Linked DNA regions of Schizosaccharomyces pombe. The protein of the gene in region 1 binds, or shares a complex with, the protein of each later gene. Each region holds a gene or a part of one and is shown in the gene's direction. Other genes may lie near its edges. The genes, in order: ago1 and arb1.

Region 1 (17,104 bases):
TGCAACAACTCAGAAGGAGTCAAGTTCACCTTTCTACTAGGCTTTGATACTGCACGTATGTAGTGAAGAACCGGTTTTCCCTCAAAGTACTTTAAACCCAACCATAGACGGCGGGTCGCTACATTTTGCCTAGTGGTGATTGTGGGTAAAGCATCGGGTCCATGAATATCTCCGCGTTGAATCGAGCTTAAAAATCCTTGATGATACAAAACAGCACATAACTCGAGCACACTGTTACAGTTAGGAACGCTTGCTAACGACTTGCGAGCGCGAAATGAATTTTGCAAATGCGAAAAAACATAATGCAATTGCATTTCGACTTTTTTAACACAATCCTAATCTTTTATAAGCAGTCCAACAATAAAAGCCTTTTTTTTCTATACAGAATGGTGTTTTGAGGAAAGAAAAGAGGTATGAATGCAGTTTAGCTAGTCACTTCCAAATACCTCTCTCTGTACTGGAAGAATAGTAAGTAGTGAACGGTGTAGCTAGTGTTACACACTATTAGCAAGTTAATGGACATTGCAGTAATCACTGGATAGTAGTATATTAACGACACGATACTAAAGTTCACAATAAATCACTATATAATAAACTAAAAGCACCGGTTTACTATGTTTGGAAAACAAGGCGCAAAATTGCAAAACCAACGGTTATTACGGCAAAAGCCGTCTACCAAATGTTAGAGATTTACTTTGTACAGAATAAAATATGGATCTAAATCGCTGTGTCAATCTGTTAATATTATAGCATTCAAATTACCATGAAACCCACAAAGTTGTCAGAAGTGGGAAGCGAATTTTTGTGCGTTTAGTAGTTCCAAAATCCTCGAAAGGTATTCGCAAATGTAATAATCGAAAAAATTATAATAAGCAGTGTTCAAAAAAACAAGCGGTACAACAGCGAACGCCTGTAAAATATAGGGATGTAAAAAAGCATTTGAATACAATGTAAATTCACAATTGTATAGGATTATAAAAATTTTTTATAAAATAATGGCATAACGAATTCTTTACTGATATTTTAATTACAGAAAAGAAAACGTGAATTGAAAACAAAAGCCTAACAGTATGGAGAACGATTTATAATGCTTCTTTATGTGGCCGATCGTCCAGAAATTACTGATTTACTCAGTATAATATATTGATTTAATTAAGTTTCGCTTCTTAAAAAGGTTGTTAGTTTCGGTAAGCTGTTTAACGAGTATTACACAAAGCACAAGGCATTTTAATTTCATAAAAAAATGTCCGTTTTAATTTGAAAGACGTTCGAAATCAACACTTTTCAAAAATCAGTGCAATTACCGAAATCATTTACTTGAAAGTTGCCAGATTAATATTCTCAAAAGCAGGTTGTAAAAATGTATTATAACTATAAAGAGGATTTCAAGCAAGCAAATATAACAAGAAAAAGAAAACAAGTAGTAATCATTGATTTTGAACCTCCCGGTATTGTTAATATAGAACTAGTAAACAAATAGTAATTCAATGTACTATAATTTTCGTCAATGGTTACAAATAACAATTGGGTTCACTTTTATTGAATCACAACCACGATATAAAGAAAGAAGGGTTAAAACTCAAAAATCCGTCGATTTGGAACCTTTAAAAAAACATAAACCTATACAAAATTATGCGGTAATTTAAGAAAAGCTGTTAAAGATAAGCTTATATTTCTTATGTTCAGAAATTAAATAAGACTTATGTTGCGTTTGCGTGCTCAGAGAAGTATAGAAATAGACCTTAGTATATAGAAAATTCGAATGTATTAAGCATGTAAATAACAAAGTGATAAATAAAATATTTTCTTGATAGTTTTTTGATTTAATATAGTTTATAACTCAAGTAGGTTTTATATACAAGACAACTATGATGAGTCCTAATCTAGGGTTTGGTATATATAAGCTTCCAACCGCCAAAGCGAATTGTCTTCAGCCAACTCGTCCTTTATGATTCAGAGTGAGTAGGATGTCGTATAAACCAAGCTCAGAAATAGCTTTACGTCCCGGTTATGGAGGGTTGGGCAAGCAGATTACTTTGAAAGCTAACTTTTTTCAAATCATTTCTTTACCTAACGAGACTATCAACCAGTATCATGTAAGTTCCTAGAAATCGCACATTTTTATGGAATTAGAGCACTGTAAAGGAAATTTACACATTTAAAGTAAAAGCATAACAGAACACGTGGCCTTTCTTGTCTGAAATATAAATATAAATACAGAAATAAATCGTGCAAGTGTTACTGGAATTGTTTAAAGGTACTTGTTAGCTTCATTCGTTATTCGACTTTACTTTACTATACCTGGTTTATTTTCTCACTTTCTTTTAATGTTCTGTTGTTTACTTTGCCTGCTACATCATTTTGTATCTGTCTTGCATTGCACGATTCTTTTCTTTTGTATTTCATCTCTTCCTCAAATTTTGTACATTAACGTAGAATTGCATCAAATTAACGCCTTTTGTTGTAGGTCATAGTAGGTGATGGTTCACGTGTCCCACGAAAGCAATCCCAGTTGATTTGGAATTCTAAAGAAGTTAAACAGTATTTTGGATCTTCCTGGATGAATTCTGTTTATGATGGGCGAAGCATGTGTTGGTCTAAAGGTGATATTGCTGATGGCACCATCAAGGTAAACATAGGCAGTGAGTCGCACCCTCGAGAAATTGAATTCTCTATTCAAAAATCATCTAAAATTAATTTGCATACTCTTAGCCAGTTTGTAAACTCAAAGTATTCTTCGGATCCGCAAGTTCTAAGCAGTATAATGTTTCTGGATTTGCTGTTAAAGAAGAAACCATCTGAGACTTTGTTTGGCTTCATGCATTCTTTTTTTACAGGTGAAAACGGAGTTTCACTTGGAGGTGGAGTAGAGGCTTGGAAAGGGTTTTACCAGTCTATACGACCGAATCAGGGTTTCATGTCTGTTAATGTAGATATATCTTCGAGTGCATTTTGGCGTAATGATTCTTTACTTCAGATCCTTATGGAATACACAGATTGCTCGAACGTTAGAGACTTAACACGTTTTGACCTAAAACGTCTTTCCCGCAAGTTTCGGTTTCTAAAGGTGACCTGTCAGCATCGCAATAATGTCGGTACTGACCTGGCGAATAGAGTTTATTCCATCGAGGGATTTTCCTCAAAAAGTGCCAGTGATAGCTTTTTTGTTCGCCGTCTTAATGGTGAAGAGCAAAAAATCTCTGTAGCTGAATACTTTCTTGAAAATCACAATGTTCGTTTGCAATATCCTAACCTACCTTGCATATTAGTAAAGAACGGGGCGATGCTTCCTATTGAATTCTGTTTTGTTGTAAAAGGTCAGAGATATACTGCAAAACTGAATAGTGATCAAACTGCCAACATGATCCGTTTTGCGGTCCAACGACCTTTCGAACGTGTCCAGCAAATCGATGATTTTGTCCATCAGATGGATTGGGATACAGATCCCTACCTAACCCAATATGGTATGAAAATTCAGAAAAAGATGCTCGAAGTTCCAGCTCGTGTTTTAGAAACTCCTTCTATTCGTTACGGAGGAGATTGCATTGAGCGTCCCGTTAGTGGACGTTGGAATTTACGTGGTAAACGGTTCCTTGATCCGCCGAGGGCTCCTATTAGATCTTGGGCTGTAATGTGTTTTACTTCAACGCGTAGACTCCCTATGAGGGGTATTGAAAATTTCCTGCAAACATATGTACAAACACTCACTTCGTTGGGAATTAATTTTGTTATGAAAAAACCTCCAGTTTTGTATGCAGATATTAGAGGGAGTGTTGAAGAACTATGTATAACGTTATATAAAAAAGCTGAACAGGTTGGTAATGCTCCTCCTGACTATCTCTTTTTTATTTTGGATAAAAATTCGCCTGAACCATATGGTTCCATTAAACGTGTTTGCAATACTATGTTAGGGGTTCCTTCTCAATGTGCTATTAGCAAACATATTTTACAAAGCAAGCCCCAATACTGTGCAAACTTAGGCATGAAGATTAATGTCAAGGTTGGAGGAATTAATTGCTCGTTGATACCCAAATCCAACCCTTTGGGAAATGTTCCTACTCTTATTCTTGGTGGAGATGTTTATCACCCTGGGGTTGGTGCAACAGGTGTTTCGATTGCTTCAATTGTGGCATCGGTAGACCTAAATGGCTGCAAGTATACGGCTGTTTCACGTTCCCAACCTCGTCATCAAGAAGTGATTGAAGGAATGAAGGATATCGTGGTATATCTATTGCAAGGGTTTAGGGCAATGACTAAACAACAACCACAACGTATTATCTATTTCCGTGACGGTACCTCGGAAGGACAATTTTTATCAGTAATAAACGATGAGCTTTCTCAGATTAAAGAAGCGTGTCATAGTCTATCACCAAAATACAATCCAAAGATTCTAGTATGCACAACGCAGAAGAGACATCACGCTCGTTTCTTCATTAAGAACAAATCCGACGGAGATAGAAATGGAAATCCCCTCCCTGGTACAATTATTGAAAAGCATGTTACTCACCCCTATCAGTACGATTTTTACCTTATATCCCACCCATCTCTGCAAGGCGTTTCGGTCCCAGTTCACTACACGGTTTTGCACGACGAAATTCAGATGCCACCGGACCAATTCCAAACACTGTGTTATAATCTTTGTTATGTTTATGCAAGAGCAACAAGTGCTGTTTCCTTGGTTCCACCTGTTTATTATGCGCATTTGGTTAGTAACTTAGCCCGTTATCAAGACGTGACAGCCGATGATACTTTTGTTGAGACATCAGAAGCATCAATGGATCAAGAAGTAAAGCCGCTTTTAGCTCTATCAAGTAAATTGAAAACAAAGATGTGGTATATGTAATGTTTGATGGATTGCATGCAATAAGTAATGAAATAGATATACGATTGACTACTGGATTGCCCACAACTTTTACTTCCTTATTAAATCTGCTTCTGTTTTTATTTTGCTTTATATTATTGTAATTTTCTTTAATCATTTAATGTTAGTTTTTTTATGCTCTATCCACTGTTGATAGCTTGACCATGTTCCAACGATCAACAAATGTTGATAACGATAATACTAATGACATTCACTTAACCCAAAGCCCGAACTTTATGTAAGTGTCACGCCAATATAGAAATACAGATAAACTAAATGATACTTAAGGATCTCAGAAGAAGTGATTAAAATCGATAAATTCCATGCACAATGGTTGAACAACCAATTTACCTATTTGTCTAATTCAGATTCATCTAGCTTTTTTATTAAGAAAAAACATCATTCAAAGCAAAATCATTCAAATTTGAAAACAGCCTGTTTGAAGAGAATCAGAATTTCTAATTTTTTAGAGTATTTGGGTTAAGTTCAAGAACCAAACATTGCATACTGTGTTAAGATTTCGTTTAGAGGAGCAAAAACAAGTCAATAATGATAATTTTACTTAACTGATTTGCTCCAAGATTGAAAATTAACACCATTATAGTGTGCATTTTTTTTATTGTTCAGAAAAACTTTTTAATAATGTTAAATCTTTAATGTTGATGAGCGACCTATACGGAATGCTTTATTAAGCAAATCCACTGCATTTAACATCAATCCGCTCCAATAGTATATAGTTTCATGAATTTTGTTAAAGGAAGCATCCAACATTCTTGAAAATCCAGCAAAAGGGAGATATCAACGGTCTCTTCCAATTCGCTTCATTATAGCATAGTTAATCAACGTACAAAGTCTGCTGCCTTCATCATACATCATTTCCATGCCATCTCTAGCTTCAGACCCATGATCCATGTGGCTAACAATTTCAGAAATTTCAGCAGAAAACAGATTGCAACTAGTTAGGTAAGCAGAAGAAATCTTCAAAAGTACAACACTTACGTTTTAATCCACTTGATGCGAACACCTCCAGCATGCGAGCTATCTGACCAAAAGGGCAGTTCGGTGCTATTTAGGTCGCTGACTACCTGAGCATATCCTAAAGCATTGTACGTTTGCTGAGCCACAAAAATAAAATAAACACTGGCTTTCTGTTAAAGTGTTAGTATAAAACTATATCGTTTAAGGGAAATAAAAGACAAACCTTATATGCATCAGAAATTCTTTTGGAAGAATCTTTCTTGACTGCCCAAATAGAAGTTTTTTTAGCATGAGCAATGGCAGTCTCGTTGTCACATAGCATAATAAAATAACGGGAGCCTAAGTTGTTAGAATTATTTGTTTTGGTTTAATGGGCTAAGCCTTACGGTGTGAAATTCCATTTTCGTCAAGAACAACTCGGGGATTAATCATCGAAATGCGTTCCCCCTTCTCATTTCTATGTTCGCTTGCTCTGGAAAAATTTAATGGAGGAGGCGTAGATGCACGAGCTTTGGGTTTTTCTTTTCTTGAGGCACTATCATTGCTGGAATTAGAAAGCAGGTAAGAAGATTTCTCAGGATAAGCTCCAACTGGCGCGACCGAAGAGGGAAGGGAGTGAGCATAAGGTTCAAGCAAACTAGGGGAGTGAGATGCACGAGTATTAGCAGGTACAAAAGGATACCTTGTTGAACCACTGCTTGCAATACCATGACGAGTGTCTTCATGAGAAAGTTGGGGGGAAGATCGAACAGGATAGGAAGAGTAACCAGCTTGGTATGCTGAAGCGGATGAAGGAACTTCAGAAGCTAAAGTGTAAGGAGGCCTTCTGTATACTTCTTCTTCAACATAACGAGAACTTCCAACAACCACTGGGTCCGCAAGCCGTCTAGGGGGAGGACTAAGTGTGCGTCGCTTGGGAGGAGGTTGTATGCCATGCAAACGAGAACGGCTATCATAGTAAGCAGAGGATTCCGAACCTGCATGATAATAATGTGGAGCATCAGTTGAATAAGAAGAGTAAGGAGGCTGACTTTCTGGATAAGATCCCGAAGTGTGATAAAGCATAGACTCACGACGAAGGGATCGAAAATAAGGCCATTCGTAGGAGTGACCATAGTCAGTGCAATGCCTGCTAAAATCATATTTACCATGTTTAATTAAGCGGGGATCATCTACCATCAATCTTCTACCGATAGGAGCGTCATGTGACTCTGGTGCAGGTCTTTTCAGAGGTGAAGAAAAGTTGTTTGAACCTGAAGTAGATAGAACACTTGACGCAACAGGCTCTCCGGTATGAGTAGTCCATACGCTTCTAGTATCGCCCGATTCGTTCAATGACGGTGGAGCTATATAAGGTGGTTAGTAAAATTCTCGACAAAATTAAACAGTAGGAGGTTTTAGGCGAAAAGTCAGTCAATTTTCAATGACACTATTTTACATTCCTCTCTGATATTTTAAACAATAATCTACTTACGCCACAGGCTTCGCAGAGCTTCCAAATTTGGAAGTTCCGGAATGGACTTTGATGACCTAGAAGTAGAGAAGTTTGTGTTTGACATTCAAATTTCTTTTATGTGTGATAAAAAGTATAATCTTTTTTTTTTGAAATCCTCTTTAAAATGCTAAAAATTTGTAAATTGAGTAACGGAAAATGAGTTGAAGCCAGAAGATTGTGATAAATATTAAATTAAGTTAATAAATATTCACCAAAATCCCTTGCTTTATATTTTTTTTACAAAAAAAAATAAAGAGAGAACCAAAAAAACCCCCCAAAAAACAAAATTGCTGGTCAATACACTAACTGAATTTATATCAACCACTATCGTTTACTTTAAAAGTCTTGCCGAGTAGAGAAATAAAAAAGCAAGAACTAGCAAGATAGATATACTCTTGAAAGAATAGCGGTAAGTCAAGTGAAGACCAAGCCCCAAAAAAAAGAAAAAAAAATATGTTTAGCCCAAAAATCACCAATTATAGCTTTTCACTTTCTTCAAAAGTTAGCTATTTCCCGTCAACTTTCAAAATAATGTTTGAATGTTTAATAAAACACTTTATTATAGGGTTTACTAGTAGCCTCCTTAGTGTTGGATTTCTGGAAGAAGGCAAGGTGCAGATAATCGTGAGAGAGTAATTTGATTACGGGTAATAACGAATACGAAGTACTTTGATAAAACAAATGAATATGAAAACCATCAATTACTGAGTAAATAAAAAAATTTCTATTTTAAAAGAGTTTTACTTTTTAATAAGTATTCCTTGTAAATTCACATTTCTTACAAATTTGTTCGGCAGATTCAAAAAATGCCCCGTGGCACAGAGAGATACTCAAAAGAAAGATTCTTTTTTAAGATTAAAAAAACAAAAAATTGCTCTGAGTGTAAATAGTGAATGGTCAAATGTCGACTAGTCGTTTCCATATTTACCATCAACATTATAAAGTAAATATTTGATTTGTAAATTAAAATACAGTCGACTAAAGTGTGGATAAAATGGCTAATACACAATACCAATGCTTTGACAGACAGAAAAGTAAGAGATCAAACCTACTGTTACCAGGGAAGAAGCGATGTAGCGACAAAGTCGAAATGCTGTTTGTGGTTCTTAAGCAATACGAAATTGTATAATATTATTACTAATATAAAGTAATCATAAAGGGATTCCAACATAAGACAACTAAAAATATATGAGGAGGTAGAAACACTTTACTAGTTTAAGTGGTTCAAGAAGCGTTCATCATTGTTCAGATTACGAGCAAAAGAATTATGGAGAAGGAGCTAAATACTTGAGATCTTCAAATATCTTATGAGTATAGCGATAAAGCTCCTCAACAAAGGCATCATCATGAGCGCGATGAAGAATACCACGCTGAGCAATTGCAGTGAAGTAAGCGCCGTTCAAGTGCTCTTTGGAAATCTCGGGACTGGTTGCAGCATATAAGGAAGTCATGGCGCCTCTGATTGGATCCAAAAGTAAATACTGGAAGACTGATTTCTCTAACAATTTGAGAGCAAAGGTAGGTGAGTAACGAGTCAGCTCGGTACGGATAACACCTGGGTGTAGACTAACGGAATATATTCCATATTTTTCTAAACGTTTGGCTAAAGCAATGGAATAAAGGATCTGGGCATACTTAGATTGTCCATAACGAGCAAAAGTACCCAAAAGTACATGCGGGAGATTTAGGTCAGGGAAGTAGATACCAGAATAAGGGGCCTGCAAATATGCAATGCTTGCGACGTGAACTATTCTAACATCGCCAGGTCGACATTCTTCTGCAGTACGACGGAGTGTGGGGAGCAAGAGCTCAGTGAACAAGTAATGTGAAAGGTAGTTGGTTTGAATCTGAAGTTCATAACCATCTTTAGTCAATTCAAAGGGAGGGTTCATGATACCAGCATTATTGACCAATATGTGTAATTTCTCTTCTTTGGCAATGAAAGACTCAGCTGCTTGGTACACGCTTTCGAAGTCTAACAAATCCAAACGAAGAAAACGGATCTTGGAATGTCTAACTTCATCGTGGATCTGTTTCATAACTTTTTGATACTTTTCCTCGTTCCTACCAGCCAGATAGACCTTTGCGCCTTTTCTAGCCAACTCGAGGGCAGTTACATAACCAATGCCACCTGAAGATCCTGTGACAAGAGCGACTTTACCCGTAAGATCGGGAATATCGTTAAAGGTCCATTTGGGTGTATTGAGACCGGTGTACTCTTTGAGAGTATTTACAATTGCGCTCTCATTCACGCGGTTGAGCAATCCCTGAAAACTGTAGGACATCGTAAAGAAATTTTTGAAGCTAATATCAATTAAAAAAAAAGAACTTTATAAACAATGAGCGGGGAGGATTTTATTGCAAAGAAGTGGCCAGAGAACAAACTTATTACCAATGTCTTTAACTCGAAACTGTAGCGATTATGAAATCAATCGATCAAGTTTGGAACAGATTCAAGAATAAATCAACAATTTTCTTTTAATAAGCGTTCTTAAGTTCTAGAAAACACTTAAATATCGTTCTCGTCGAATATGTTGAATATGGGTAAGGGTGGCTGCAGATGATAAGTTGCAAAGAGTGACGATAGCGGAAGAGGAAGCAATTCGTAATTTATACAATGACCGCTGACAAATTTCTTCAAAATCCAAGAAACTCAAGGCGTAACACGGCTTCTTTGCGGACCGAAAATTTGATCAAGCATGGTATTACATCGACTAGCTACTTTTGACTACTTGGCTTACAAAACGAAATATGGATTGTTTAGAATTGAATGTATGAATTGGGTGCTCGACAGAATATTGGAATCCTTTTAAAAATGTATAACTTGAACTTATTGTAATTGAAGAACTCGAATTCAGATTGGGCAAATGAAAGATAAAATTAGACTTAGGTATGAATAGAAACGAAAACTTAAAAATCTGCAATCTATAGGATTCCCTTCTTTAAACGAGTTAAACGTCATGTTTTATTCAGTAAGAGTCTTAGAAATTCATTTTTTCACTTATACTAGATCACAAGCATCTTACAGAGCCACCCAATAGCACATTAATCGGTTTCAAAAAGCAACTTGCATAAGGCTTAATATATCGGTGAACATTCCATTTGGGTGCTCATCTTCTGTTAGCATCATTTTGGTACGGTTTAAGATAAAGTTATTTATTTAAAGAATTAAATTACTCTAAAAACTTAAAATTATTGATGGTTTCCTCTTTTTCTCTGCTTTATTTACATTTTGCTCTAATAGTGTAATCTTGCGCTCGTTCATATTCAACAATACGATGGTCTAACGAATTGTGCTAACTCTACGGTGCTGGCTGTGTGAGTGAAACATTGTCGTCCGTAAAGTTAGTCGTCTCTATTTACACATGTACAACTCCAATTTCAGAGCCATACTCATTACTGTTTAGAATCCCGTCCGTTTCATTCGTTTTCATTTTTCTATTTGTCTATAAAATTCATTCTTTTACATAACTATTCATGCTCTGCTGGTTGTAAACATACGAGTCGTTAATTTATATTTGTTTATGTAAATGGAGTTGGACGATTTTAATAGCCGCATTCTCAGTCAAATTTTTGATAAGGTAAGCTTTTTACAAATTAATGGAGATAGAAGCTTGCTGTCCAGAAAAATGTAACTGGAATGAAAAGCAAACAAATGGAAATATCGTTGCAACGGCATTAAGGGCACTGTTGATCAATTCCATTGTATTTTACGATTTCAATTAGTTTTACTCATTGCTTTGTGTTTCCGTCACTACTCTTTTCATACCTGTTCTCCCTAGTATTGATGGATCTCACTTCTGTAGTGGGTTATTTTAAGTTTTTAGGTTTCTAACTGATTTATTTAGTCTTGGAAAGTTCGATTTGAAGCATATGAGTCTTTGTTGCATGCATTGAACCGAGCATTGGATGATTCAGACGTTTGTTTCCAGCCTTGGATTCATGACCCAGCATTATGGAAACAAGGGCTGTGTGATAGTAACGTACCAACACAAGAGCATGCCGTAAAATCTCTGCGATGCTTTTTAGACAAGTCTAGGCAAAAAGGAGTTAATTCTGCCAAATCGTTCGTTGTTGCTCCTCTACTCGAAAAATGTTTACCATCTCCTAGACAATCTATCCGTGATGCTTCTCACCAGGCTTTACTCATTTTAGCTAAATCCGATGCGCTGGACTATGTATTAGAAGGGTTATTTTCGGCGGCTCGCGTTAAGCATCCCAAGCAGGCAGTTGCTTCTATAAAAGAATTAAATAGTTTATTGGAGAATTTTGGAATCCCTGCACTTTCTCCTATTCCATTCTATAAACTGATTCCTACTTTGTTCGCCCAATCAGATAAGAATATCAGGCAAGAAGCTTCGAATCTATCCATAACCTTGTACGCTTGGGTTGGTAATGCATTCAAGACTCATGTGTTTCCTCAACTAAAGCAAATACAGGTCTCCGATCTTGAGGCCTCTTTTCAAAATGTTACATCTCGCACGACCACGGGAGGACATATTTCAAATTCCCTCAACACCCAAGAGGTGGTTCTTCCTTCTTTTTCATCGAATGCCAAACCCAAACCACATTTGTCCTCAAAGTCATCTTCGCAGGGAAACACTCTGCAACGCTCTACTTCTAGTTTCAGTACTCCTAACCGAAAGGTCTCACAACCTTCTGATTTTTCAGCATCTCCTTCCCGTTCCATTGTATCTCCTGCCAAAAACATTGTCGGAAGTACGCCCGTTGATGTTCTTTCCAAACTAACCCCAGAATTCCATACCGCATTATCTTCTCCCAAGTGGAAAGATCGAAAGGAAGCGTTGGAAAGCATGGTACCGGTGTGTTCCAATCCTGTTTATCAAGAGGGTGACTATAGTGAGTTACTTCGAGTGATTGCAAAGTCTCTAAAAGATGCAAACGTGGTGGTAGTGGGTGTAGCGGCTTTATTATTGACGCATATTGCCAAGGCGCTAAGGAAGGGCTTTCTTCCGTATACTGGTATTGTATTGCCTTCTTTATTTGATAGGTTTAAAGAGAGAAAATCGAGTTTGGTGCACTCTTTGCTGGATGCGGCCAATGCTATTTTTGAGAGCTGTGGGTTGAATGATATAATGGATGAGACGTTAGAATTTTTGAAGCATAAAAATCCACAAGTAAAAACTGAGACACTTCGATGGCTGAATCGTTGCCTACAATTGACGGATGTTTGTCCGCCTCGAGCATCGCTTGAAACGCTATGTAGCCTATGTGTGACATTGATCAACGATACGTTTGAGCCAGTCCGAATGGCTACCACAAATGTATTGGCAACACTTGTGCAAATTTTTAGTCAGCCAGTGTTGTCCAAGTATATTGTGGGATTGGATCCTAAAAAGTTACCAAAAATATTAGAACTTTCCAAGGACATTACGGTGAATGCGCATCCGAATCAACCCTCACGTCCCAGGCTGCCACGAGTGGCCTCTCCTTTAAAGACATCACCGGTTAAACTGGCTGTTACACCACAAGCACCTTCACCATTACCATCCTCGAATCCATCACAGGCGAGTTTGACAGAAGAATCTCTATCTACACGATCTTCGCCTACGAAACCATCGACGACGTCTTTGCGTAGTCAATCGTTGGTGAATAGATTTGCAAGTTCTACATTGAAAGCGCCATCATCCTCTTCAAAGGGAGTTTCGAATGCGGCGTCGTCAAAACAATCGTTTCCGTCATCCCCTTCGATTTCGAAAAAGTTAGAGACTAGTCGACTTTCCACGAAGAAGTTACCGGGATCAACGATGAAAGCAGCGTCGGCGCTCAAAGAATACCCACAGCAACAGTCTATGAAAAGTGGAGGAGAAAAGCAGGACAATTTGGTTACGATTACAATGTCGGAAAAAGTGGAGCTGGATTTGTTGAGAGAAGAAAAAGCCATTCGACAAGTTCAGGAAGCGGAAGATGCATTGGAGCGAGAACGGTTGTTTCGAGAGATCAATGATTTGCAAATTCAGAATGCAGAAATGAAAGAACAGGTGTATGAGAAAGAGTCTACGATATCGCAAAAGGAGGTGGAGATTACGAGTTTAAGGAATGAGAAGGATCGATTGAGTACACGATTGCAGCAAGTATTGTTAGAGTTGGAGAAGCAGCATGAGACGAATGAAGAAGCGATGGATATTGATTTAAAAGTTCCCGAGAGTGGAGCGATAGGGAGGGTGACGACAAGGGCGACAGCAACGACAGCAATGGACGAAAGTGGTAACGCTGGGATGGTATCGAGTGGTATTCATTCTGTGTCGACAAAGCCAAGTTCGTATGGGACACGGCGTTCGCTGGCAGGATCAATGTTACAAAAGCCGACGCAATTTTCGAGGCCGTCGTTTATGTTTTCACCAGAGGCACGAGACAACTGGAGGGAGAGTCATGATTTGTCAAGTCATTTGTGGGAGCAAATCCAAAGGATGAAGAAGGCGTAGTGCCCGGCGATGCATCCGAAAGTATGACTGATTAGGGCATGCTGGATTTAGCAAAGACGAAGAAAGGCAAATCGAGCGTCGTTTTTACGTGTTGTAAGAGAGGTCGTCAGTTTGGTGAATGCACAAGCGTGGAAATGCTGGTAGAGTTTTTTGTTGGAGTGTTTGTTAAAGTCGATTAGGTAGAGTTGAAATCACTCAATTTGTATTTCTAATTAAAGTCGATCATTTTGTAATGCTAATTGAAACGGTCAAGAAAGAAATCAGAGTTTTGGATAGATGAATAGGAAAATGTAGAAAAAGAAGAAAAGAAAAGAAAAAGAAGAATTCACGAGAAGAGAAGAAAAGAAAAAAGACAAATCACAAGAAGAAAAAGAATTCACGGGAAAAAGACAACTGCAACTTTTTTTCTGCGCTCCATTTGCCAATTCAACAAAGCGCGTCCCCTGTGCGCATTGCCAAACAAATACCACTAGCTTTAGGCTTGATCCTAGGATTAGCGAACAACGGGGGTACAGTGTAGTTTGGCGTAGTATGGAATAAGTAGGAACGAGTTTGTAGGTTTCCACGTTAAATGCAAAGTACGAAAGAGCTTTTCCACTGATAGATAAACGATGCATAAGGTTATACAGCACGTTATAAGGTATTGCACTATGCATTTTAAAGCAGCGCAGCAATTCGTTCCTTGCAAGATGGGCAAATAAAAACTACGAGGTGATAACAAAACGGTGTATTACTTTGCGAAAGCGAACGTACTGTATTACATTGTTAGTTAGTGTATTACGTTGTAAAATAATGCATTACATTGTAAAATAGTGCATTACATTGCACCTACTGAAATGCCTTGCATTCTGCTACATTTACGTGGTAGCTTACTGTACTACATTGCACTCTACTGCACTGCTTGGCACCCTCTTAACTGTCTGTCCTGCTGCGCACTGCCTTTGCGCACCTTTCCCATACCTCGGCTATATGAGACACTAACTTTATCCAATAGACGATCGCTTCTTGCGGCGTTTGGTTATCGTGCGCGCGCACCGTAGGGAAAGGAGGGAAGCAAGGCAGCGGCGGCAGAGCAGGAGTCTAGTACAGTAAGGCAGCGAGGAGGGAAAAGAAGATTTCCCATATGTCGGGAAGAGAGATTTGAGAGAGGGAGAGAAGTACGGACGGTCGGAGGAGCAGGAGAGAGAAGAAGAGCCATGAAAAAGGAAGTGAAAGTAGAAGGGAACTAGTAGGAAAATAGTAGGGAAATAATAGAGGTATTCTTTTGTTTATTTCGTTTAATTTTATTTTATTTCGTTTTATTTTATTTCGAGTATTCTTTTGTTTATTTATTTTCTTTCGTTTTATTTTATTTCCTTTTGTCGCTCTTTTTTCTCTCTTCTCGTCGCTACTCTAGCATTTCTAGCTATTATCAGTACATCGCCATGCCATGTGCCATGCAATGTTATGCTATGCTATGCCATGCCATGCCCGTTACACTCCCGTGTTCCATTTGGTGCTCCATTCCCGTATTGCCAAAGATAGATATTTCCGTATTCACTCGATCCTCTTCATCTTCCGAATAAACTGATAAAATTGTTGCAAGTATCTAATACTCATTCATAGTCAGCGTCGGCATTTTCTTAAACTCGTTTACAATCATTTCTTCTGAATTCATCTAATTTCTTCTGAACTCATTTCATCTTTCTTTTCTTCATTCTTACTACACTCATATCCCGTTTCACTCACAACTCACTTCTTCACAATATCACTCACTCTCTTTCGCTACTTCTTTTCTCTCTCTCACTTTTCCATTTCTTGTCACCTCGTTCCTTGTTACCTACCCTTGTTGCCTCTAACTTTTACCTTTTCTCTATTCTATTCTCTTTTGTTTTAACCTTTTTTTTTATTTTTGTTTCATCCATATTTATCCATTTATATTATCTTTCTTTCTATATTTATCTTTATCGGTCCATTTATCTTTTGTTTTTTCTCTTGTCTCTCTCTCTCTCTCTCTTACCTTTCTTTCTCTTCTCTACTCTACTCTACTCTACTTTACACTACACTATTCTATCCTAAGCTACTCCATCCTCCTCTACACTATCCTATCCTATCCCATTCTCCTCTGTCCTATCCTCCTCCGTTTTATCCCCTCTATCTCTATTCATTTCTCTACTCTATTTCCTTTTTACCCACTTTGCCTTCCTCTGCTCTATCCTTCTTCAACACACCCATCGTCACTTCTCCCTCTTCTCTCTTTACCACATCCTACCACTCCCCGGCCTATTCATTCTTTTCACTCTCTTTCTTTCTTTCACAACGACGACGCGTTTGTTTACCCCATCGGCCCTTCAACACTCGCTGCCCCCCTCCCCTCCCCCTTCAGCTCCAGTTAACGCGGTGCGCCAAACGCATTGGTCAACATCGCTATCCAGAAAGAAATTCGGTTTTATATTATCGCGAATGGGAACGTCATGTTTACGTGATAGAAGGAATGGACATATCTATGGCAACTGTGGCCAGCAAGCTGACCAAATGATGTTTACCTACTCTTGTTCACTACGGCAAGTGATGATATCATTTTCCCACCTTAGCTTTGTATATATAGACTGGCTCGCTCATTTACCGATACACCTTTATCCATACTCACGTTTTCATTGACTTTAGTCAAAACTTTCTTTTCTTTTTTATCCTTTAACTATACTATACTTTATTATAGTATCCTTTCTCATACCATAGGATATAACATACCTTGGGATATATATATATATATAATCTTTTTTTTTTTTATATATACCCCATCACATTTTTGTTATACCCAGAGAATAGCCGCTAAGCAAAAGTTAAGCTAAGCTAAGTGAATTTGAAAGAAATCCAAAAGGAAAATTTCCTCGTTTTTCCCTTTCCCCAAAAAAAAATCCCGACTCCTTTCCATTTTTTCATATAGTCGACAAATTTTTTTATTTTTGGGCTTTTTTTATACACACTCTCTCTATCTAACTATCTATCCTATTTAACTATATACCCACGAAATTTCGTATCGCCCTTTGGTAAAGTGTTAAACATTTTTCGTCCTACTCTTTTTTTTTTACTTATAACTCGTCCTCTCTCTACTAAATTATTCTCACTATAATTGTTCTTATTAGTATCATCACATACTAATATACTACTACTACTACCACTTATTTTTATTATTACTACCATCTCTTCTTATTTACCCACATCTATTTCTATTTCTGCAAGATGATGAACCGTGCGTACTCTTTAAGAAACAGCCGTGCCCCTACGGCCTCACAATTGTTAAACCCCCCTCCTCCCTCCTCTTCCACTCGTAGTGGTCGTTTG
Region 2 (15,633 bases), on another chromosome or scaffold:
TTTAGTTGATCCGGTTTGATGGAATAACTGCTTGGCGCTCGTTCATTCGTTCTTTAAGGTTCAAAATGGACATTTTTATTTCAACTCTAATTACGATATCGGCAGTTGGGAGAGGAGGCAAAAGGCCAAATTTTTAGTTTATAAAAAGGAGCATCTCCTTTCATCTATTCTGCAGAAACCAAGGCTTGTATTGTGAGACGTAAAGCGTTCAATTGCAAGGTTTCCCCATTGCTAGTCTCGTTGACAGTCATTCCTTGGCTTTAGAAAAAGAAGTTTGCTTATTTACTTTTTTCACTAATTTTGGAATTCCGTCTTTTTGAGCTACTTGTTTGTTTAGACATTTTAATTCTTTAATTGTTTACAATTTACTGTCTTTTTTCCTTCATAATAGAAACGCATATCGAGGTTTGAATAGGTCGAAATAGAAATATTTTGTTTTGTTAATCGTCCATCATCTCATTTCATTCACATTCCATCGATCGGTGCTATATTCTCTTTATTTATTCAGCTTAATTGCCCGATTTTTTTTTTAAATTATTTCTTACCTTTTTTTTTTTGGTTTGGTAAAAAATGAGCTGTGTTACTAGAGCCCCCATGTCTGTACCCCAGACTGCCCTTCAACCTAATTCCTACGTTAATTTCGACGCTCAACAAACATCTTCTACTCTGCTTCCAGTAGAAGTCATTGACTCGGTCATGCAGTATTTACCTGCACACGACGTTATCCAGTCTAGCTTCGCCAGTTATCCATTGACTTTGATTGCCAACAAGATCATTCGTGCTCGTCTTTCCTTCTTAGACGAATATTCACTTCGCGTTTTTGCAAAGGATGTCTATACCGATTCACCGATTTGCAACTTGTCTGCCCGTCGCGGTTTGTATTCTTTACAATATGATGGTTATTCGGTATTCCACTTGGATCCTAACAATTGCTCCTCTATTTTTCAAATCTCCTTTGAGGACGACGAGGATCTAGCTTCTTTTGAACGATACCCTGGGGAGTTTCTTGCTCCCCATATCAATGTTCGAATTCACGTTACCTTGTCTCGTTCTTCCTGCGATCGTCATCAAGCCGATATATTTTCTTGCTTTCAAGATCCTATTCGTGTCCGCCGGGATTGGCTTGATTCGATAAAACCCGGTCAACCTGAAACACTTTGGTTTGATCAAAACACTCAACATGTCATCGGTCTAATTGTTACAAGAGTTGATGCTGCTCCTGGAAAGTATGATCTTTCTGTTACATCTGTTATTGTTCAAACGGAGTACCTTTTATCTTGCCTCGAGAAAAGAGTACATTAAAAAAGAACTTTTTCCATTCTGCATTGTTTAATATTCTATTATTTAATTCTCATGAGACAATCATGATTGCGTTCCGTTTTCTTTTAATGTTTATTTTCGTTGCTTGACAAGCCTGTGTCGCTCACGACTTCTTTGTTTGACATTTTGTACTTATTATTCTTTTAATTAAAAATTTAATTTACCTGTGATGTATGTTTTGCTGTGTTAATACATCCTGGTTTCTCATTTAATAAATGCGTTTATACATTTTACGCAGTCGACTGGTTTTTTTTTTCAGCGTTGTTTTAATTTCATTCAGCATTTGGCTTCATGTACAAAATTTATTTCTTAACATTTTTTTTCTAATAAACTTTTTTTTGTTGTACTGAAAAGTAAAAACCTACCTTTTTTTAAATTGCTCAATCAATTGAATGTTGTTTTCACGTTTCTCATTTCTACGAATATTTTAGCCTTTGTAAAATCTTTTTAATAGACGCTTAATCTTGTAAATGTGACTAAGTCTATACTACGTTCTTTCGCTCCAGTCAGTCTGCATTGTTTTGAGAGTTAGTGATTTTATGCTGGAATCGACGTGGTTATTTCGCAAATCTTTTAAATATGTAGTGAAAGCAGTATTTGTTTATATTATTGAAGAACTGTAAAATTTAGGTTTGACATTGGTGGTTTTTTGGCTTTACAACTCGTCTGTTAACGGAATTGGGTAGTGTTCAAATAAAATTTAAAATTGGTAGAACTCTGGGATAAGTTTTAGTATTTATGTTTCTATGCAAATAAAGATAAGCTTACTTGTTTCATTTTTTCTTTAAATTCTATATATCTTCATTGTTTTTACATGTCAACCAAGAATACGAATGTTTGGTTCATAAACATACCTCAATACATTGACACCACCACCCGTCACCATGAAATGCGTCGAATGCGGCGCGGAAGTCGATTCTTTATACACATATTATGGAAGGGGTACCAGTAATATTCGACTAGCTCAATGCGTAAGTAATATACACACAATATGTTTCGTTGATGTAGTCAACTTGATCGTAAGGAGCTAAGGGCAAGTCCATTCCAACGGCGACGAAAAGAAGCTTCATGAATATTTTTCTCTTCAAATATAATTTACATTATTGTAAGCAAATGACGATCATTCAATTTTTGTCTCCATTTATCTTGCTTAATGAATACTGAGAGTGGAATGCGTAGTCTTGCTGTAATCGTTAAGATCGACTTGTTCTTTAGTTTTTTTTAAGTACAATTTCAAACTAACGACTATGTTACAGAAAAACTGCAAACAGTTTGCGGACAAATACATTGAATTAGATGTTGTTCTCATCAGCATGGATGTAATTTTGATGAAACCGCAAGTTTACCGTCATCTTTTGTTTAATTCTCTGTCGGCACGAACATTTCGTAACGTAAGTATTTTATTCATTTCAATGGCTTTTTAAATAGCTGACAAAATGCGCAAAGGTTGTCAATTTCTGCATATTAATTTCCCTTTTCAACGTTTTTTTAGTTTGGTCACGACTAGAAAAACGCGCAGCCCTCTTCCCCTACTTCACACCTGCCCAAGCATTTCTCTCCCAGCCAATTATCCGGCAGTACTTGACTTTACTGCTAATATGTTTGGTTGAGACAACTGTGTATCAAATTTCAGTAGTTCTGTTATTATGCCTAACAATGGGTTGGAAATCTTGGACTTCTGCGTCTGGCGCTGTAATACTTTCTTCTAGCACAAGAATGCTACCCGTTTTCATGGTAATTTGGGACTACGACCTTTCTATAGCGGCAACCGTCGTAGAATGGGTAGTTTTGTTTAGCAATGTGGATGCGCTATGTATATTAACTGGAAGCCGGCGGTATTTTAAAATTGGCTTAATCGTTCTTTTTGCCAGTCTCGTGAGATCTATTGTCGTTTATATTTTTTTACATTTAACAGGACTTTCACAGATTCAACCATCAACTCCTTGTGATGGGTTTCAGCATTTTGTAAATCTATTATGTGTATACTTTCGTTCAATCACTTTAACTGCGCAAACTGCAGTATAATGACAAAAGGAAATGGGAAACAATACGGCATCGACATAGTGTATCAGTTATTAAAAGTTTTTATATCACCCGTTTTAAGAAACTGGTCAATTATTAGTTCTTTAATAAGTTGTTGATATTTAAAAAATATGAATTTGATGAACCAATTGAAACCGAAGCCAGTAATCATATTTCCTAATCTTGTAATATGAAACTTGAAATGGTCTAAATAAAAATAATAATTACACCCTCAAAGCATATAGATATGTAATAGATACAATTATATAGAGGAAACACTGCAAGGAAATAAAAAAGGCAAAAAACTGAAAAAAGTAAAACTATTTTGCTGAGCATAACTAAACAAATGATCATTCGAAGATATTTTTCTTACCAGTGGAATTTGTTGCATTTTTTTAATAACAAAGTTCAGAGGTTTGCTTTTGCTGTCGCTAAAGAACCCATCACAATTTTATCAGCTACGATATTTTTTAAATATTTAATCAATATATGTATATAAGTCTTTGTTCATTATACATTTGTTTAGTTATAGAAGCAACCAGGTCAGCTAACACCGTCTTAGCTCGTAATGTAAAATAAACTCATAGTAAGCGAATGAATATTTCAGTAAGTTTTAAATGAAATAAAAATTAGAAAGTAAGTAATTTATAGAACTGTAAGCAAATGCAATCAGACCCGTTGAGATTGAATACAGTAAACTATTTTTTAAACCCAATTCAAAAAAAAAAAATAGCGTTGTTTTGCTACATGTGCTGCATTTTGTGCTTTTAAAAAAATTTAAAAATAATAATAATAATAATTTAGTGTGTAGCTAAGATGTCAGCTTTTTATAATTAGTATGTTAAATCAATTAATAACAGGTTACATTAGCTTTTAGTGAAGAATGGAAAACTTGAAGATTAGGTTGGCAGACTAATCTTCAGTTGGATGTAGCCCTATTAAAAAGCAGCAGAAAAATATTCTTTCCGATTTCGGAGGGTTGTATAATGAATTAGATTTGTAACGGTAAAAAGTTTTTGTGCAAATAAGTTCCGTATAATTAACCATGTTTTTCTAATCTCTAAATTAAAACCTAATTTGAAAATAGGGCAAACATGTAATTTTCTTGTATTTCTCGACTTTTGTTTTTTATTTTAATTAAATTATCAATTACAGAAAGTATTTATTTTTTAATATGACTCTAATATTTTCATACTGTCTATCCTTTCACTCTAATCTACATGATTGTTTTGTAAATTTGGCAGTAATTCGGCTCAAGGGTTATTAGGTTACCGGTTTATTAATCAGTTAATAGCACCTTATATGAAAAGAGACGAGATTAAAGTCATACAGTTCTACCAAATAAATAGGTTTTTTTTTTGAATATTTATTTTACGGAAGTAATATTAAAACTCGAAGTATGCGTATTTAAACATTAATTAACTAAATTTGTTTGGATAAACCGCTTTGACCATCTTGACTAACTGCACTTAAGCGAGTAATACGTTAGCCAACTTCCTATCGCGTAAATAATTTAACGCTGTCTACGACAGGCCAGTAAACACGCGATCCCCATACATGTTTTAGATGTACGGGGGATTTTTTTTTGAAGAAACTGTTAAATTTAATACACAAAAATATTTAAAAGTTTTATTTTGGATATGAGTGAAAAATTTAATGTATTTTTCTGCCGCCAATAAAATTGATTCTGTTTCCATCTATAATAGCCAACCACAACGCTCGCCTTTACCAGTCTTACCAACTGCCAATATTAAAAATCAAAACATATCGAGATGTTCAGCCGTCGAATTCAAGTTTTGAGCCCGTTTTTGAAGCATTTTGTTAACAGAAATGCCCGTATGATGGCTACAGAGGCCAACATATCTGCCACTTCTGCTAATCCTCAGTCACAGGGTGAAAATTTAAAAACTTTCGAGATTTATCGCTGGAACCCAGAGAAACCAGAAGTAAAGCCAAAGCTTCAAAAGTATACAGTCGACTTAACAAAATGCGGACCAATGGTTTTGGATGCGCTTATTAAAATCAAAAATGAGCAAGATCCTACCTTAACGTTCCGTCGCTCATGCAGAGAAGGTATTTGCGGGTCTTGTGCGATGAATATTAATGGCAGTAATACTTTGGCTTGCATCTGTAACATTAAAAAAGATAACAAACCTACTAAAATTTACCCCTTACCTCATTGCTTCATCGTAAAGGATCTCGTACCTGACCTAACCTACTTTTATAAGCAATATAAGAGTATTGAACCCTGGTTGCAAAACGATAACATCCCTAAAGACAAGGAGTTTTACCAATCTCGCGCTGACCGTGCCAAGCTTGACGGTTTGTATGAATGTATTTTGTGTGCCTGTTGTTCTACCTCTTGTCCATCTTACTGGTGGAACTCAGAAGAGTATCTTGGCCCAGCAGTTTTGATGCAGGCTTATCGTTGGATCATCGATTCTCGTGATCAAGCTACTGCTAAACGTTTGGATGTCATGCAGAACTCTATGTCTGTCTATCGTTGCCATACCATTATGAATTGCGCTCGTACTTGTCCCAAGGGTTTGAACCCTGGCCTTGCCATTGCCAAGGTAAAGGCTTTGATGGCTACTGCTTAAACAAGATTTACGCTTCTTTTTGTCTTTTCTTTCGCATCTGATGATTCCAATATTTCTTGTTAAAGAGGAACCCCCGTTGTTACTTAACCTATTTTATGTTTCTCTTCTACGATTTTTTTTACTTGCGTAGCTCTGTGTTTAGCTGTCATCTATGCTACATTACTTTCTCGATCTGACCATTACTTTTGCGTTGTTCCCGTTAATGAACCCTTTATTTTTATTTGCAATATCTAAATCTAGTTTACCATTAATAATTTCGGGAAATGGTAAACTTTTCTATTTTAAAGAAAATATGCTATTTCGTGGTAACTTGTGCACAATTGAATTGTTTGATTGTGATTTTTTACGCTGTTACATCAGATGAAATAATTAAGCATGTATTTGAAAATTATCTAAACCACTTTTTTCACTGTTTATTTGTGGCTAGTTACTGCATTTAACATAGCAGCTGCTTCTTTGGTTAAAGAGTTGAAAACTTTTTAGCATATTGAGAGCCCTTTAAGGTAATTGCTTTGTAAAACTTGAGATAAGTAAATGAGGCATCTTTTATTTAATTAAAGTATCACATAAAAACGGAAATCATGTACACAATAATGAAAGAAAAATAAATCTTAATATGACGATTAAACCATGGTATTCTCCATAGGCTGGTCGAAATTTTTTGTTACTATAACATGATTTTAAAATTTCAATGGATCAACAATGTACATTTTCACGGCCACTTTTTAGTTTATAATATTTGACGAACACAAATAACTTGGATAAGATGTTATCGTTCATAAGAATTTACATATTCACCACTCCAGATAATACTACGCAAGACTAAACCTAACTCCTTCGTTTCACTGATTCAACAATTTATTAAATTTCAATATGCTTTTTACCTTTAAGACATGTTATAAGCCTTCAGACACACTCATTTTTTAAATATTAATGGCGAATATTTTACTTTGCTGGTTTGTTGTTGAATAGCGCAGATAGCTATTACTTGATAGCGTAATTAGTTAAACTCGCTTTTATAAAAAATAGTAGTAGTTGAACAAGCTTCTATATTAGTAGTTTAACGAATACGTCTAGAAAATTTGCTATACTAGTATACGGCTTCAGGTACATATATCATCGGTAAAAATTTTTTTGGCTATATATAGCAGCTTGTCGCGCCGTACCAGCAGTCAAACTAAAAAACTCCCAAATTCTTTTAAACGGGCTTTTGGTATAGGTTGTGAATATAATGGCAAAAAAGGATAAAACCTCCGTTAAGAAATCAGTGAAGGAGACTGCATCAAAGAAGGGTGCCATTGAGAAACCTTCCAAGTCCAAGAAGATTACTAAGGAGGCTGCTAAAGAGATTGCAAAGCAAAGCTCTAAAACCGATGTCTCCCCTAAAAAATCTAAAAAGGAGGCTAAGCGTGCTTCTAGTCCCGAACCTTCAAAGAAATCAGTAAAAAAGCAAAAGAAATCTAAGAAGAAGGAAGAAAGCTCCTCAGAATCCGAGTCTGAATCTAGCTCATCAGAATCCGAGTCTTCCTCTTCAGAATCCGAATCTAGTTCTTCAGAGTCCGAATCATCTTCATCTGAATCCTCTTCGTCTGAGTCTGAAGAAGAAGTGATTGTGAAAACTGAAGAGAAGAAGGAGAGTTCCAGCGAATCATCTTCCTCCTCTGAGTCTGAAGAGGAAGAAGAGGCTGTTGTAAAAATTGAAGAAAAGAAGGAGAGCTCTAGTGACTCTTCTTCCGAGTCTTCCTCATCTGAATCTGAATCCGAATCTTCCTCATCTGAATCTGAGGAAGAAGAAGAGGTGGTCGAGAAGACTGAAGAGAAGAAAGAAGGCTCCAGCGAGTCTTCTTCTGACTCCGAATCCTCGTCAGATTCCTCCTCAGAATCTGGAGACAGCGACTCTTCCTCTGATTCTGAATCCGAATCCAGCTCTGAAGACGAGAAGAAACGTAAAGCCGAGCCTGCTTCTGAAGAAAGACCTGCTAAGATTACCAAGCCTTCTCAAGATTCTAACGAGACTTGCACTGTTTTCGTCGGTCGTCTTTCTTGGAACGTAGATGATCAGTGGTTAGGGCAGGAATTTGAAGAGTACGGTACAATTGTTGGTGCACGTGTTATTATGGATGGCCAAAGCGGTCGCTCAAAGGGTTACGGCTACGTTGATTTTGAGACCCCTGAGGCTGCTAAGGCTGCTGTTGCCGCTAATGGTACCAAGGAAATTGATGGTCGTATGGTCAACTTAGATCTCTCTAATCCTCGCCCAGCCAACCCTCAACCATATGCTCAACAACGTGCGGGTAATTTTGGAGACCAATTATCTGAACCTAGTGATACCGTATTTGTTGGAAATTTGTCTTTTAACGCAACTGAAGATGATCTCAGTACGGCTTTTGGCGGTTGCGGTGACATTCAATCCATTCGTTTGCCCACAGATCCTCAGTCAGGACGTCTTAAGGGTTTCGGTTATGTTACTTTCTCTGATATTGACTCTGCCAAGAAATGTGTGGAAATGAACGGTCATTTTATTGCTGGTCGCCCATGTCGTTTGGACTTTTCAACTCCTCGTACTGGTGGAGGTAGCCGTGGTGGTCGCGGTGGATTTGGCGGTCGTGGTGGATTCGGTGGCCGTGGTGGATTTGGTGGCGGACGTGGTCGCGGTAGAGGTGGTGCTCGCTCTGGAAACCCCAACCGTGGCTCGGTTGCTCCATTTTCTGGGAACAAAGTCACTTTTGACTAAGTATACTGGCTTTTAACTATATTGAGTTCATTTTTATGGGTTAAATGTAAATACCTTAGCAAATTAATATATGAGTTTGGGTTTTTGGGAAACTTTTTGGCATAAAGGGTTTTAATAAATGTTGGGCTGTGGATTTGATTTAATTGGGTTGAAGTATTCAAATACAAATGACTTGTTTGGGTTTGTTATGGAATGAATTTGGGTTTGGTTTGGTTTTATTGACTTTATAAAGATAATAAATATGGGCCCGTTGGTTTTACAATTTCAAAGCAGTGATGGTTGGCGTTGTTCTACGGTTTAGTTCATGTATTCACCTTTCCTTTATACGTTCCATAGAAGCTTTTGACATAGCTTTAGATAGGTTTTAATATAAAATAGAATCTTATTTAGTTTTGTTCTTGTTCATCTAATCAATCCATGTTACTCACAATCATCGTTGATCACTTTCTAATAGCTAGTAAATGAAGACCGTTTTGTGTTCCTTTTTGGGCTTTTCCATACGGCACTTTAAATTAATGATTTTTTGTTGAACTTTGATTGTGGTCTTACCCGTAATCATAAATGAAGAATGTAGTCGAGCCATTGTCATATTGTCTTATATCTTCAACTTGTAATGTCTCGTCTATTAAATTAGGTAAGCATCAATAGAAGGTATCATTGATTCTACATTACAAATACGCTTCTATTTCAACTTTTAAATTAATACAAGCATGTTTACTTACACTTTGGTTGCGATTATTTTAAGCAAATTAAAAAAAAATATTTTTGTATATCAAATTATAATATAGCTAAATTCAATTGTAACAGTAGTGATGAGTTCTGGCATATTCAAAAAACGGTTGTAGAATAATATATCCAGCGTTACTAAATCCGGCAAAGGAACTGTCTACTTAACTCTATGAACAAAGCTTCTAATACAACACTGTAAATTTGGTTCCTTAGATTCCCCTTACCACACTGATAAACTAGTAAATCAACTATACGACTAGTGTACTGACTTTCCAGTCCAGATGAAGTGATTGAGTGATGGCAGAAGGTGATTTTAAAAATGACAGTACAGGTTGTATTGGCGATAGCGTGGAATTTACTACTTTTAAAAAACGTACAGGAAAAAGTCTCGGTAATAGAAGAAAAAAGAGGGTATTTCTTAAGCTTTAGAAAACCCGTCTAATAAATATTAGGGATTGTCTGGATGGGAGCCTTATTTTCAAGAACCCGAACTGACAGCTGAAGAGAAATTGGAAAATGAGACATTATACAGCAGGTGAGAATACAAAATATTGTGTCTTACTAACACTTCTAGGAACATACCATTGACTGTGTTAGTAAACAGATGTTAAGGACTTTGCTGACAAATTAGGCGAATGGAGCGATTTATTCAAAGATATCGATCACGCAGAAAATGGAGCGACCCTACAAGAATAAGACTGTTTACAATGTATCTAGATTTAGGAGGCGTTTCTACGGGCCAAAAACAGTTTACAGGGGGTACTGATATTAATAACGATGCGAAGGCACGAGAAGTTTCCGCTCAAACCACGACTGATTATATTGAATACGATATACTTGATGAATATGATATTGATTTTAAGTGGGTTGCTGGAGTATTTCTGTGAGTCATTTATGTTTCCATTGAATTTAATTCACGTTGTATTTTAGCTAATCAATTTAAGGTCGTCACACATTTTGTATAACGCTGGACTAACTAAGGAAGAGGATTTGCAAATAGCTTGTCAAATTGTTAGAAATTTTCTGCTAAGTGTTTTGCATAACAATGTTGCACCAGAATTCGAAGATAATATTCGTGACGCATGTTTATTAGCAGAGCAAGCAGAAACTGAATTAATTTCTAATAAGAGGCTATCAACTAAACTTCCCGGTAGATTGCAGCGGGCATTGGCTAGTATACATGTTGACAATTATAAAGGCTTATGGGACAAATCGCAAAGTGATAGGACAAGTGATAGTTCAGTCAATTTCATTGAATCCAATAATACCAAATTCATGCCAAATGATGAACTATTTGAGCCTGATGGAATTAGTAGATTTTCTACACAGCAAGCGCGCGACTACATCCAGAGAACTCTTGGTCCACGATATTTGACTGGGAAAGTCGTTGAACAAGAGTACTTAACAGTCAAGTTAGTTTCTAAAACGCTATTGAATTTTTCAAACCAATCTTTATGCAAAGCAGTGTTTATCGTTTGGGATCCACCCGGATCTAAATATTCTCAAGATACAAATAAGGAAAGACTAGAAGTAATTTTGGAATCTGATTTACTGAACAACACTGTTGATGGCACTCACTTAGAGGGATCGTTCACTTTTTTGGATAATGGACTGACTATATTAGACACTGTGCTTGCTGTGCTACCCACCTTTTATGAAGAAGTTAAAGATGAATAGCATTGTATTTTAATATAGTTACTTTTGTAATATAGCTGGATATGAAATCCTTTAATTAGTTGCTTCTTCTTATTGTGATGAGGATAAAGTTCTAACATATATTAATGACCCGTTGGTGAGTTCGTACTTCCCCCAATTGCATAAACAATAAGTATAAGAAATTATAATTCCCAATCACATAATAGATATTACTTGTGTATGTAATTTAATGTTTTCAAATATTTTTATACAAATACGTCAAACTATGCGACAATATTTTGAAAGCTAGATCGTGCAGAAGTCGCTTCTGAGTCAGTATTGAGCAATAAGAATTATTCGGATGATTTTTTCAATAATCTTAAGTTACTGTCAGGCTCAATGCAATAAACACGATCAAAAGAACATTTAAAGCTATAATGTGTATTCACTTTTAATTGTAAACACAAACGATTAAAAAATTTACGTGTATAAGTATTTTTCCTCTATGAAGGCTAAAACGTTATGTGGAAAAGAATAGTCAATCATCAATAACGTTCATAACTTGTACTATTGAACAAGTCGTGCTGGGTAAAGATAGAAATCAAGTAACTGGATTGGAAGTTGTGATTAGCATAGCGAAACGCAGCGCCTATGGCGAAATAACCCAGGTGAGGAAAAGACACCTTACAACTCCAAAACGACGAAAATAAATTGGTAATTGTTTTACTGGGTTAAGTGTATTGTAGAAGCATAATTGAATTGAAGAAAGTAATTGCTGTTCTTTTGGACCTGTTATTTTTGTACAGGAGTAAGCAAACTACGGCTTTCTGCAATAACTTGAATGTTTTGATATATTTACACATTCTCAATAATTTAAAAGAATTGAAAATAATTATTAAATTAATTAAAAAAATTGAAGTATCGAGTAGATGAATGTTGGAAAGAAATCCGAAATTCAAGTCTCAGCTAAAAGCAATCTTAACTTCCTTAATGAACTAATTGAGGAAAAAAAGCGATACGAGGACGAGAAGCGCAAGATTAGCCATCAAAAGTATACCGATAAATTATTGGAAGCCAATGATAACGAGACGACCAAAAGGAAATTACTGGTAAAACAAAAAAGAAAATCCAACAAGGAATTTCAAAGTAATATTATCAAAAAAAGAAAGGACGAGGAAAGAAAAGGAACTTTAAAAACTGAACAAGCTAATGAGGAAGAGCTGTTGCAAAGAAGTCGTCTGGAACTGGAACGAAAAGCTAAAAAATACGACCAGTATGCTGCCGGAGAACTGGAAATAAAGGAGACAGAAGATGATGGAATCCTTGTCGACTTCACACGCAAATGGGCTGAGGAAGCACCCGAAAATGAAACAGTTGAAATAACGGATGAATTTGGGCGAACCAGGAGTGTCTCTATTTACGAGACCGGTAATACCCTACTTTCACAAAAGGAGGAGTACAAGCCCGAAAAGCCAATATACGGTGACTATATGCCATCCTTCGAAGTAGACGAAGAAAAGGTTCAAAAATTGTGGAAGGAAGATGAGCAGCAAGCAGTTCATTATGACTCGACTAAGGAAGTAAGGAATAAAGGTACGGCATTTTACCAGTTTTCTTTTGACGAAAAAGAAAGAGAAGAGCAACTTCTATCTTTAAAGGAGATTCATGCTAAGGTTACACAACAGCAGAGAAAAAACACAGAAGATGTGTTAACCTTACGAGACAAAAAACTTGAAGAACGGCGGAAATTTCTTGAGCGAGACTATGCAATAAAGTTGGGGGAGAGATGGATGTCTGAACATTTTTCTAATAATTGAGGTAGAAACTAATGAAATGAAAACGTAATGATAACGACTCATAAACAAAAGCTTCTTAGCGAAAACAGAGAAATGTAATAGTACTGTAGGAAAAAAGGAACACGAAATCACCAAAAACAGCAGTAGTTTTCTTCTTTTTTGTTTTATTTTAACGAATTATTTATTTCTGATTATTGAATTCACAATCAGTATGAATGTGAAATATTAAATTATGTATTTTGGAGAACCATTTTTTTGTTGCGTATTTATAAAATTAATAAGGGAGAAAGGATAGGGAAAAAAGCACAAAACATATTAGCAAGAGTATACAAGCAAGTGAAAAATAATAACCAGTTGGATGGTCAGCTTTACTTAAGCATTCTTTTATAAATTTTTTAATTGGCGGCAGAAAAAGGAAAAAAAATAAACTGGACGGCCAAATATATCAAAGCAAAGAAACGTTCTGAGGATATTAAGAGGAGAAAACAACTTATATGTTTTAAAAACAAAAAACAGAAGGACAATCTATTAAAAAAAGAATCAAAACTCGAAAGCCAGCTAAGACTGTAACGGAATTAAGAGGACTTTGGGTGAACGGCTTTTGAAGGCTTTTGGATGCAACCGCCTCCAATTTCATAAAGTCGGTACAAAGCAAGGTATCCGCATACCACAATGTCCAAGACAATAGCACTCAACGTTGGCAAAATCAGAAGAAACGCAATGGTGAATGCGGAAATAACCACAAATTTGATAAGGAAAGACAAAATTTCTTCAAGCAACATAACTAAGTATATATACAAAACTAAAAGATACGTTTTGAAATGCGGAAAATGATAATTAGGAAACAGAGGAATATGACTCAGACTTTCAAAACAGCAGTTATAACCGACCGTGTACGTTTGTAAAAACAATTGAGAATATTATTAAAGTTACTATTCTCGTTTTTAATATTGGATCACTAGAAGATATTGATTTGTATGGGTTGTAATTTGAATTTCAGTAAATCAATGGCGGTAGATAATAAGGTAAAACTGAATTCCGCTGTCGAATTCAGGGCAATCTCAGCATTCCCGAGCGGTGCTTTACGAAGTGTAGTGGTGTGCGTTATTTTGCTGAAAATTGTAAACACATAAAAAACCAAACTTCAGCAAGAAGAATAAAAAAAACGGAACTGATTGGTTGTTTATCGAAATTTTTGCTAGTTGAAATACAAAATTTTTGTTTAAATATTAGTGCGAAAGAATAAGGTCTGCAAAAAAGAAAAAATGGTCTGTTTATTAGAAAAATAAGCGAAAGTTGTTTAATGTTTATACCTTTCAGTGCGCTTTTTCCATTAGTATAACTTATTTTTCGTTTTCAACCCTCTTCTATCGTTTTGAAATTTTTTTTATATTAATCGTACCATCATCATTCTCTACTCGTTTCTTGATGTTTTCGGCAATGACATACATTTGATTATACAGCCAAACCCAGTGAAATTGTGTTGGAGTGCAAAATGTATTACGACACGATATACTATGCAATTTTTTTTACCAACCGCGTATAACGCATACGGCGTAATAAGCCGTTACCATATCGTTATTTAAAAGTTTTAATTAGAAAACAGCGTAATATAACGGATATGCACAAAATGCGTTAGCATTGAAAGCTAATGAGGTCTTGTGTCTCCACACTCGAAATTGCGGGGCTTGACTAAATTCAAGAACAACAAAGAGAAATGCCTGCTACATAAGGGATTTTGCCTGTGAAATGTGCGCAGCAGATAAATGTAGATCACGGAAAAAATTTAAAGTAGCACTTGGATAGTATGATGCGTTTACAAGGAAGTTGCTCAAACAGCAGAATGTCTGGCTGTAAACAGGAAAATGTCGCAGGGGGCGAAGTGATAAAACTCAGGGTTTCATGAAGTAAAAAGTTTTGAAATTTTTTACTAAGGTCCAGAGTTGGCTGTTTTTGTAAATTTTTAATCAAGTTTGCATGATTGCTAAGTAAAAGTTGAATGTCCTAATTTGCTCGTCCGAATGTGCTCTTTTTTTTTTTTCAGCGCACTCGTTAGACAGATAAAGTGAATGTTTTGCTAGGCCATTTTCTCGTTCTATTTTGCCTCGATTGAAACGTGGTATGTTTGCAGCTAAAAGGTATGTACAGTTAAGCCCAGTGGAGACAAAGATGAAAAGGAAGTAAAGCGAACTATGAAGCGAAACTATAAAGCAAAAACAGCTAGGTCGGGGAAAATTTCTACAAGAATTGCTTAAGTTCTAAAAATTTAAGTGTTTACTTTTAGCAAGAATAAATGTGTTTTCCTTTATTTTATTTTGTATTTTTTTTTTCTTTTTTTTTGGGGGGGGGGTAGATGGGGTGCAGCGACTCTTTTAGCAAAAGCTGCGTCCACCCATAAGTGCGAAAAGACCACGTCTGTCTTTATTTGGCGTTGTCGCTATTGATTTGAATATTGGCAATAACTATAACGCTTATGCCAAAGAGAAACAAGTCGGTATAAAAACAGGTTGATATTTTAAAGCGCGATTTATTAATGTAGTTGTTAAATAATGCAGTATGGTACAGGAAAGGAATAGAGAGCAAGGTAAAGAAAAGAAGTGATGAAGGAGGGAGGTAAGAAAAAAAGAAATCTCATATTGATTTTTTTTAAAGGTATTAAAGAGTATATTTAGAATGTTTGGATAAAATATATATCTCATGCGTCCATATTCCTTCAGTCATTCATTCCTTCATTTATATACCTCTACATCTCTTTTTTTCTTTCTTTTCTTTTTTGTTTTCTTCATTTTCATTTTCA

What was found.
Region 2: ago1 (region 1) and arb1 share a complex: the UniProt entries of both Schizosaccharomyces pombe proteins name them as parts of the argonaute siRNA chaperone (ARC) complex.

What each region holds. Positions count from the first base shown.
Region 1 is NC_003421.2:332,170-349,273, forward strand, and holds ago1 (argonaute), read left to right. Parts: upstream 1-1,909; 5' UTR 1,910-1,967; coding exon 1,968-2,096; intron 2,097-2,302; exon of another isoform or gene 2,303-2,467; coding exon 2,468-4,843; 3' UTR 4,844-4,901; downstream 4,902-17,104. Other genes in the region: mrps8 (mitochondrial 37S ribosomal protein uS8m), read right to left, coding at 1-314; YTH family RNA-binding protein Mmi1, read right to left, coding at 5,660-5,816, 5,861-6,009, 6,063-6,178, 6,226-7,185, 7,314-7,398; SPOM_SPCC736.13 (dehydrogenase), read right to left, coding at 8,600-9,619; TOG/XMAP215 microtubule plus end tracking polymerase Dis1, read left to right, coding at 10,865-10,915, 11,183-13,780; lipid binding protein Pil1, read left to right, coding at 17,003-17,104. UniProt on the Schizosaccharomyces pombe protein: Required for G1 arrest and mating in response to nitrogen starvation. Ago1 regulation of cytokinesis and cell cycle checkpoints occurs downstream of dcr1. Required, indirectly, for regulated hyperphosphorylation of cdc2.
Region 2 is NC_003424.3:1,890,350-1,905,982, forward strand, and holds arb1 (argonaute inhibitor protein 1), read left to right. Parts: upstream 1-9,616; 5' UTR 9,617-9,702; coding exon 9,703-9,816; exon of another isoform or gene 9,817-9,857; coding exon 9,858-9,940; exon of another isoform or gene 9,941-9,979; coding exon 9,980-9,997; exon of another isoform or gene 9,998-10,036; coding exon 10,037-10,288; exon of another isoform or gene 10,289-10,349; coding exon 10,350-11,082; 3' UTR 11,083-11,256; downstream 11,257-15,633. Other genes in the region: pof15 (F-box protein), read left to right, coding at 571-1,302; Arv1-like family protein Arv1, read left to right, coding at 2,205-2,291, 2,577-2,711, 2,767-3,345; sdh2 (succinate dehydrogenase iron-sulfur subunit protein), read left to right, coding at 5,115-5,942; gar2 (nucleolin), read left to right, coding at 7,174-8,676; protein ctr1, read left to right, coding at 11,970-12,857; SPOM_SPAC110.06 (uncharacterized protein), read right to left, coding at 15,379-15,471. UniProt on the Schizosaccharomyces pombe protein: Component of the argonaute siRNA chaperone (ARC) complex which is required for histone H3K9 methylation, heterochromatin assembly and siRNA generation. The ARC complex contains mostly double-stranded siRNA.